2 linked regions of the Oryctolagus cuniculus genome follow. The protein of the gene in region 1 purifies or fractionates together with the protein of each later gene. This does not show direct contact. Links are inferred from orthologs where the notes say so. Each region holds a gene or a part of one and is shown in the gene's direction. Other genes may lie near its edges.

Region 1 (4,191 bases):
AGGCTGAAGTTACTGCGGGGAGCGATTAGTTCATTATTTCCTGATTATGAGTTATTTCACTGAATCCATATCCAAAATTCGGTTTTATATACACATTTTGGTCTCTCTAGTAAGAGTCACACATGGGACCGGCGTTGTGGTGTAGGCAGGTAAAGCCACCGCCTGCAGTGCCGGCATCCCATATGGATGCTGGTTCAAGGTCCAGCTGTTGTTTCACTTCCCATCCAGCTCTCTGCTGTGGCCTGGCAAAGCAGTAGACGATGGCCCAAGTGCTTGGGTCCCTGCACAGGCGTGGGAGACCCGGAGGAAGCTCCTAGCTCCTGGCTTCGGATCGGCGCAGTTCCAGCCATTGTGGTCATCTGGGGAGTGAACTATCGCATGGAAGACCTCTCTCTCTCTCTCTCTCTCTCTCTCTCTCTCTCTCTCTCTCTCTTTCTGCCTCTGTCTCTGTAACTCTGCCTTTCAAATAAATAAATAAATCTTTTTTTTTTTTTTTAAGATTCACATATTTCCCCCCTGTGCCTGGAGACTCTGGCTTGATTATTCAGGATTAAAAGAGTTAATAATAAAGGCAAAGGCATTTATTTTAGTGCCTGACACATAGTTCATACTGGATTTACTCTTGTAATTGATTACAAAAAGAAAACCGCCGTAACGATGATGGTGTTATCTATAAATCGCTTTTCCATTAGCCACACCACCTAACCCAGGCTTAGGCACACCAGATCATATTTAGAAAGATATTCAGTAACGGGGGAAGGCTCCAACTTTTGAGATTCCTTCCACACTTAAATTCTCACAGCTTATTTTATGTCTTTTCTGAAATGTTGCTAAGTGTTGACTGTTTCTTTAAAACATTAGCCGTTGGTTCAATTCAACCAACTAACTTCATTTTGTTTAATTTCTGCTTTTATCTTAATGTGCAGGCTGTTATGTTTTCTAATCACATTTAAGGCCATCCATTTTCCTCAGAGTATTGTTTTGACTGCACTGCGGCTCTTAGGAACTGAAGGGTAAGAAGCGCTTAGTGCACTGAGTTCTCCACACTCTTGCTGCCTTTAATCTGTGCTTAGTCAACAGGCATGGACTTGGCATTCCCAGGTCACCCAGGTGAGCACCCGCTGAGCAGTTCGTTTCAGTCCTCTCCCCTTCGCGCCCCTCGCCTCGCCCGCAGCCACGTTCCCTTGACACCGCGCAGGTGCTAACAACAAGTTTTTTCATCTTCCGTCTCTTTCCGCGGTAAAAGCAGCTGTGGAACGAAGATGGAAAAAAATAGTCCCTTGGCAACGGAGTTCTTTTATCAAAGGGGCGGGGCTAGGGCGGGGTTTAAGGGAGGAAGGCACCGGAAGTTTGTGATTCCTGTGGCTGGATTGGGTCTCGCGCTTCCGGGAGGCGGGCTCACTTGGGCGGAGGGATTCATTTCCCGCGGCGAGCGGCCCTCCGCCTCCATTTATTCCTGGGAAGCGGCGCGGGCGGCGGTTGCTGTGGTTTCCGTGTGGGGGTGGTGTTGTGGGAGTATCGTGTGTCCTTGTTCAGCCGTGGGTGGCTGCAGGTCGGGAGAGCGGGCGCTCAGCGTCTCTTTGGAGTAGGGCGGGCTCCCTGCTTTCCCTTGGCTACTCAGCGCTCGTCTCTACCTCCGAGGCCTAGTTTGGCTTCGGGCGGCGGAGGGGAAGGCCGCCGGCGAGATGTTCAAAAACACGTTCCAGAGCGGCTTCCTCTCCATCCTCTACAGCATCGGCAGCAAACCCCTGCAGATCTGGGACAAAAAGGTCAGGGGCCGGCGGGGACAGCTGGGCGGGGAGCCGGGCCGCGCCCGCTCAGCCGAGGGCCCGGGGCGGGCAGCCGCTGCTGTGCCCCGACCCAGAGTGGGTGCACGTGCGGTGGGCGTGGCGGGAGAGGCCGTGTCCTGCGGCTGCAGCGTACCTGGGACAGCGGGCCCTCGCCGAAAACTTCACTCGCCCAATCCTTGGGGGCCACGGATCCCCCTCAGTATGGTGGGGTCGCTGGTGCCCGCCTCATAGCGTGAAATGCGTGAGCTTCCGTGAGGGAGCTTTGGAGCTGGAAAGAGGAAAGGATGCGGCTTCCACGAGGTTTTACTGATAACGCTGTTTGGTGCCAGGCACGGTGCTCGGCGCTGGACACAGGGCCCTTGTTCGCGTGCGTCTCCCTTGTGGAGGCGCCGGGTGCTTGGGTTTCATTCATTTGCTCCGTCTCTCCCGCTGATCCCAAACGAGCTAGAAATCGTGGCCTGTGCACCTGCTCCACGCTCTGCGTAACCAGGGGTCCGTACCGCGCCTTCCTTGCCCAGTTTGTGCTTGGGGTAAACTGCATGGTGATGACAAGGGCTTGTCCGGATCAGTGAGCTCGGATCCAGGTGCCAGCCTGTTGTCTGAAGTCAGGCACCCACTAGGCAGTCCCGGGGCTCCAGGAGCGGCTAAGTAAGATCCAGCTGGCTCTGCGTTGCTCTGCACCTCGTGGCTTCGGTTCTTCGTTTGTCATGAAAGTTCTCGGCCGTCAGCCCGTACCGTTTATTGAATATAAGTTCAGGAAGGCACCTTGTGTGGGCGCCAGGTGGCTTAAGGACTGTTCCTTGGTACTGTCCTCAGGGGAGAGGCAGAGGAGTAGGCTGAATGGTGTTTGTGCAGCGATTCAGGGCAGCAGCCTAAAGCAGCAGTGTAGTGGTCAGGAAGCCAGGAATTCCGGGATGCATCTCACGTCCTGTCGCCACAGGTGAGCGCTCTGGGCCGCGGCCAGGGTTGGGGGGACGTGAACAGCCTCTGCCCGTCGTCGCGCGCAGCCCTGCTCTGAGGCAGCTCGGAGGGTGCTGTGTTCCTAGTGCGGTGTGCTGAAGACGGTTGGAAGACCGAACAGCAGGAGGCCGGGCCTTTGCCGCTGTGGAAAATCTGACCCACGGCTTTCGCACGATTGTACTGTCCACAGCTAGAGCACAGGAAGACACTGTTTCACTCTTCACTCTGTTCCCGAGAGTTTTAGTGTTGAGGTTTTGTTCTCAATGGAATAAAGCTGAGAGAACCCCGAGCGAGTGTACCTGGGAACTCCACAGGGACGAGGGCTTCTCAGCTCCTGCTGAGTCAGTCAGGGGCTATGGGAAGGCGTGCAGAGAGCAGCCGTGCGTGCCAGTTGAATTCCACAACTGCATTCTGATATGAAGATCAGTATTAGGCAATTGAAACAGAGAATGGGGCTTGACCTAGGAGGAGAGGTTTCCGGAGCAGGCCAGGGACTTACTAGCACTGAAAGAATGCCACGTAGGAGCCCTTGGGATTGGTGAACGTGCCGGGGTTGCCAGTTTGAGCCCTTCTGTGCTTGACCTGCTGGGTCTTATTTTCCACATGCGCTTTTTGACTAGTCAGCATGTTTACACTCGGAATCTAGAAGCAAAGTAACCATGGTGCTTCTTGTCTCTTAACAACACCACTAGAGGTCTGACGGTACCCTGATGACATAAACAGGCGTGAAAACACTGTTATGTGCAAGGGCAGGGTGACAGGGAGTAAATTAAACAGGCGTTTCAGCAACAGAAACCTGATGAAGGAATTGTAAGCAGAATCCTCACAGTAGAAGTTACCAGTTTCTCCTCTTCTTATTCAGACTGGATTGAAAAATGTTTTTACAAAAACAACCAAAATGTATGTATTTAATTTAAAAAAAAAAAATAACACCACAGCTCAAGAGAGAGTCCAGTCCAGAGATCAGGAACAGGACAGACGTCTCAGGAGGAACCAGGAGAGACGACAGCGCAGGGGGAGCTGGGCGGCCGGGTCCAGGGGCTTGGCTGGAGACCTGCTCCAGGTGGGTTCCTTGCAGGTGCTTCTTAAAAGCCGTGGGGTTTCTCCAGAGCTCCGCGGTGTGTGTGTTCGAAGGGCTGTCGATGTGGGGCTCGCCCAGCGGGCTCCGGATGGAGAGCAGGGTGGTCCTCATGTCATGTCCTTTGGGATGTCCAGGCAGAGTTCCCCTGCGTGTCCACGTTGGGGTGGTAGCAGGGCGTGAGGAGCTTCGCCGTGGGCGCCTTCTAAGGGTAGCCACTGGGGAACTCCACGAGAGCTTGCACCCTCAGGTCTGCTGTGCCGGCTGCTCCATGGGTGGTTCCTGTCCACTTGCCAAGGTTGTCTGACTCTGGGAGAACAGAAATTCCTTTGTCGCCAGACAGCGTGAGCATCATTAGCTCCT
Region 2 (3,569 bases), about 30 Mb from region 1:
TCCGGCTGTTGCGGCCATCTGGGGAGTGAACCAGCGGATGGAAGACCTTTCCTTCCCCTCCCCTCCCGCCTCTGCCTCTCTGTAACTCTGCTTTTCAAGTACATAAATAAATCTTAAAAAAAAAAAATTTCTTGAGCAGCCACGCTACTGTGGCCAGGAGCCGGAGCCAGCACTGAGACCCAGCCGCTGCGGGGTGTGGCACGGGCGTCCTGGGCAGGTCTTTACTGGGCTGGACACTCACCACTTGGTCTAACTTGCTGGAGATCTCAGTCTCCCACATTCTTGTCAGTCCTTACTGTTTGTCCGTTCGGTTTCCGCCGTCGTCATCGTCGGGGTGCGGCGGTGGCGTCTGGTGGTCCTGGACGGTGTTTCCCGGGCGCTGCTGGTTGCTCGTCTCGTCCTGTGCCTTTGCAGCCTTGCTGTGTGGCTGATCCAGCCCGAAGAGGAGGCGGGGGCGGTGGGGGCAGCAGCGGAGACCAGAGGATGGTGTAGTGGGGAGGCGCGGTGCTGGCCGTGGGGACACTGGGCTGAGCGCGGGGCCTCCGCCTCCGAGAGGAAGCGACTCCTCGTCTCCGTCTCCTGGGGCTAGCCCCACTGGTGCTGTGCTGCCTGCGTTGGCTGGCGAGTGCAGGGTGCCCGCCTGAGGGCAGAGGGGAGCTCACCGTGAAGCTTGGTGGGGGTGAAGCTGGCCCCTCAGTTGGATGGTGACCTCCATCCTGTCCGCCCCCACAGAAAAAGGACCCAGCCCAGTTCCTGCAGGTGCACGGCCGGGCGTGCAAGGTGCACCTGGATTCTGCAGTTGCCCTGGCTGCCGAGAGCCCCGTTAACATGTGAGAGGCACCGGGGGCGTGGCGGCATCTGCACTTGGAGGACCGGGGTGGGGGGGTGGGGGGGGTGGGCCTGGGGCAGGGACCCTGGGGCCCAGAGGTAAGGAAGGCTGGACCTGCAGTGAAGGTGATGGGCACAGAGGCTGAGCCGAGTGGGTGGGCAGGGCTTGGGTTGGAGGAGCTCCAGGGGAATGGGCGGGGCCAAAGCCAGTGACCCAGAGAGGGCGGGAGGAAGTTTCAGGAGGATGGGGGCTCCTAGCAGTAGCCCCTGGGGTGGGCCCCGGGTCTCTCCAGGAGCTGTCAGACGGGTGGCCTGTTGCAGCCCGGAGGCTGTGGCTTCAGCATGGGGGACCGAAACTGGGGCTCCCGAGTGTGGTGGCGGGGACAGGCACTCTGTGTCCCGGGCAGTGGGGCCCCGAGCTCTGACCCCCCACTCCACCCCTGCCCGCTTCAGGATGCCCTGGCAGGGAGACACCAACAACATGATCGACCGCTTCGATGTCCGCGCCCACCTGGACCACATCCCCGACTACACGCCCCCTCTGCTCACCACCATGTAAGCCGCCCCCGCCCCCCGGGATGCCGGGCCGGGCGTCACGCCTGCCGCCCTCGCCCTCTTTCTGCCGGCCGCCCGCCCGCCACCTTCCTAGGAAGGAGGTGTGTGTGGTGGGGAAGACGCCCCTCCCACTGGGGAAGTTGAGGCTCAGGGTGACCCCCACCCCCGCCCTGCCCGAGCCTTCCCCGGCTGCCTCATCCTGTTTCCTGTTGGTGTGGGGTGCGGTCACCTCCTCCCTCTGACCTCAAGGCCTTGACCTCCCCTGAAGCTCCCCTGAGCAGGAGTCAGACGAGCGGAAGTGCAACTACGAGCGCTACCGAGGCCTGGTGCAGAACGACTTCGCTGGCAGTGAGTGCCTGGGCGGGCCGGGCGTGCGCGGGGTCCCTCGGCCGCCAGAGACCGCCGTGAGTGTGGGAAGACGTTTTATCAGGGGCTCCCTCTGCAGGGCCTCGAGTTCCCGTCCTTTTTTTCTTTCTGCGTATTTTCCCTTGCTGGCACGGACCAGACTGTCGGCTCTGAGCGAGCACTGGTTTCAAACGGGACGTTTGTACCGTGTCTGGCAGTTTGCTAAGCATTGGTGAGCATCGCGGGCCTGGCCTCCTTGCCGATGCCCCCCCTCCCCCAGTGAGCAGGGCGGGCTCAGAGAGAGCGCCCCCGGCCCGGCCTCCTGCAGGGATGTCAGGCCACGCCGCACCAGGGCTGGCTTGTCTGTATTACCCTACTGCACCTGCACCTGCACCTGCACGGCCGGGGGGGGGGGGGGGGCGATGGCCCGTTGGCAGATAAGGATGTGGAGGTTGAAAGCATCCCGGGAGCTGGGGTCCGCCCCTCTGTCCTCTGACGGCAGCTCCCGACTCAGGAACGGGGCTGGCGCCTCTCAGGACGTCTGTGGGGAGCCAAGGCAGCAGCACTGCCTGCGGGCGCCGGGGCCGCTGGCTCTATCCTGGGCCTCGGCAGGGTGCAGAGAGGTGGGGCGTGTAGAACCCCGGCGGCCGCTGCAGTGGCGCTGTGATTGGTTTTGTTTCTAGGATAGGTGCTTTTGCGTCTCTAAGATCAGAGAGGGCCAGATTCTAGCCCTCAGTGAGGCCGTGGCGAGGGGAAGCTGGTCATGAACAGTGCTGTAGTTTGTCGTCACTCAAGGCCGCAGCGGTTCTTGGTGGTGGAGCCAGGTGTCTGTGTCCTGCGTCCCCTCCCACGTGCCGTGCAGCACTCCCTTGGTGTGTCAGGAAGCGTCCTGGGGGCTGGGCTTTGCGGGGGAGGGCCACCTAATCACACCAGCGATGGCAATCAATCACACGCCAAGGTGGTGTCACGACAGATAGTGACCGCAGCTGGGGTCTGGAGGGTAGCTGGGGGGAGGGGGAGGGGAGGGGGGACCAGCACACTACAGGGCAGATCAAAGGCAGAGAGCCCGGGAGCGCGCGTGGGGCGGGCCAGCGCGGCTGGAAGCCAGGAGGACTGCATCCCTGAGCGGGCCAGCACGGCTGCCTCAGGTCCCAGAGGAACGCCCAGGGCCTGGGGGGAAGGGTGCTCACCAGCGTCCCAGCCGACGTCAGGGACACGCTTCTCACAGCCCCCCAGGCCAGAGGAGGCCGTGCCACGGCGTTGAGCTCGCCCGGGTGGTTGTGGGAATTTAGGGAGCCCAGCTCATCCCTCACCACACGAGGCACTCACGGAGCAGCCTGTGGCGTCCAAGTGACAGGCGGCACTCAGAGCACGTTCGAGGTTCTGGCGCACGGCCTCCCTGACGGCGGCGCCGGTGGCAGTGCCCAGTACAGGGCACTCGCTCTGCCCGGAAAGGAGGGTGGGCACGGGTGGAGTCAGTGGTTGGCCAGGACGTCACTGCCACCCGACAGACTTTGGTGACCCACGAGCGCCCCCAGCCCGCTCTCAACTCGGTCCTCTGCTCGCTGCAGTCTCCGAGGAGCAGTGCCTGTACCAGATCTACATCGACGAGTTGTACGGGGGCCTCCAGAGACCCAGCGAGGAGGAGAAGAAGAAGTGAGTGGGGGCGGGGCGGCAGGGGGCGGGGCGGCACGCGGGCCTGGCTCCTCGGCGCTCTGTCCGCCGCTTCTCGGACCCCGCGAGCTGAGGGCAGTGTTGGGCCTGCAGTGGGTACGCAGCGAATCAGTGCTTAGTGGAGGAGGTGGCTGGACGGCTGGACCGCGGGGTTTGTGCACAGCGAG

Evidence for each region. The genes of interacting proteins can lie anywhere in the genome.
Region 2: the proteins of CFAP20 (region 1) and CLASRP purify together in Homo sapiens (affinity purification with mass spectrometry; 3 studies listed by BioGRID and IntAct, counting the BioPlex papers as one, with this or other methods). This does not show direct contact. The link is inferred for Oryctolagus cuniculus from reciprocal best matches to the Homo sapiens genes CFAP20 and CLASRP.

What each region holds. Positions count from the first base shown.
Region 1 is NC_091449.1:41,503,705-41,507,895, reverse strand, and holds the start of CFAP20 (cilia- and flagella-associated protein 20), read left to right. Parts: upstream 1-1,379; 5' UTR 1,380-1,685; coding exon 1,686-1,769; intron 1,770-2,297; exon of another isoform or gene 2,298-4,191. UniProt on the Homo sapiens protein: Cilium- and flagellum-specific protein that plays a role in axonemal structure organization and motility. Microtubule inner protein (MIP) part of the dynein-decorated doublet microtubules (DMTs) in cilia axoneme, which is required for motile cilia beating.
Region 2 is NC_091449.1:11,670,458-11,674,026, reverse strand, and holds part of CLASRP (CLK4-associating serine/arginine rich protein), read left to right. Parts: intron 1-732; coding exon 733-830; intron 831-1,281; coding exon 1,282-1,383; intron 1,384-1,651; coding exon 1,652-1,731; intron 1,732-3,299; coding exon 3,300-3,384; intron 3,385-3,569. UniProt on the Homo sapiens protein: Probably functions as an alternative splicing regulator. May regulate the mRNA splicing of genes such as CLK1. May act by regulating members of the CLK kinase family.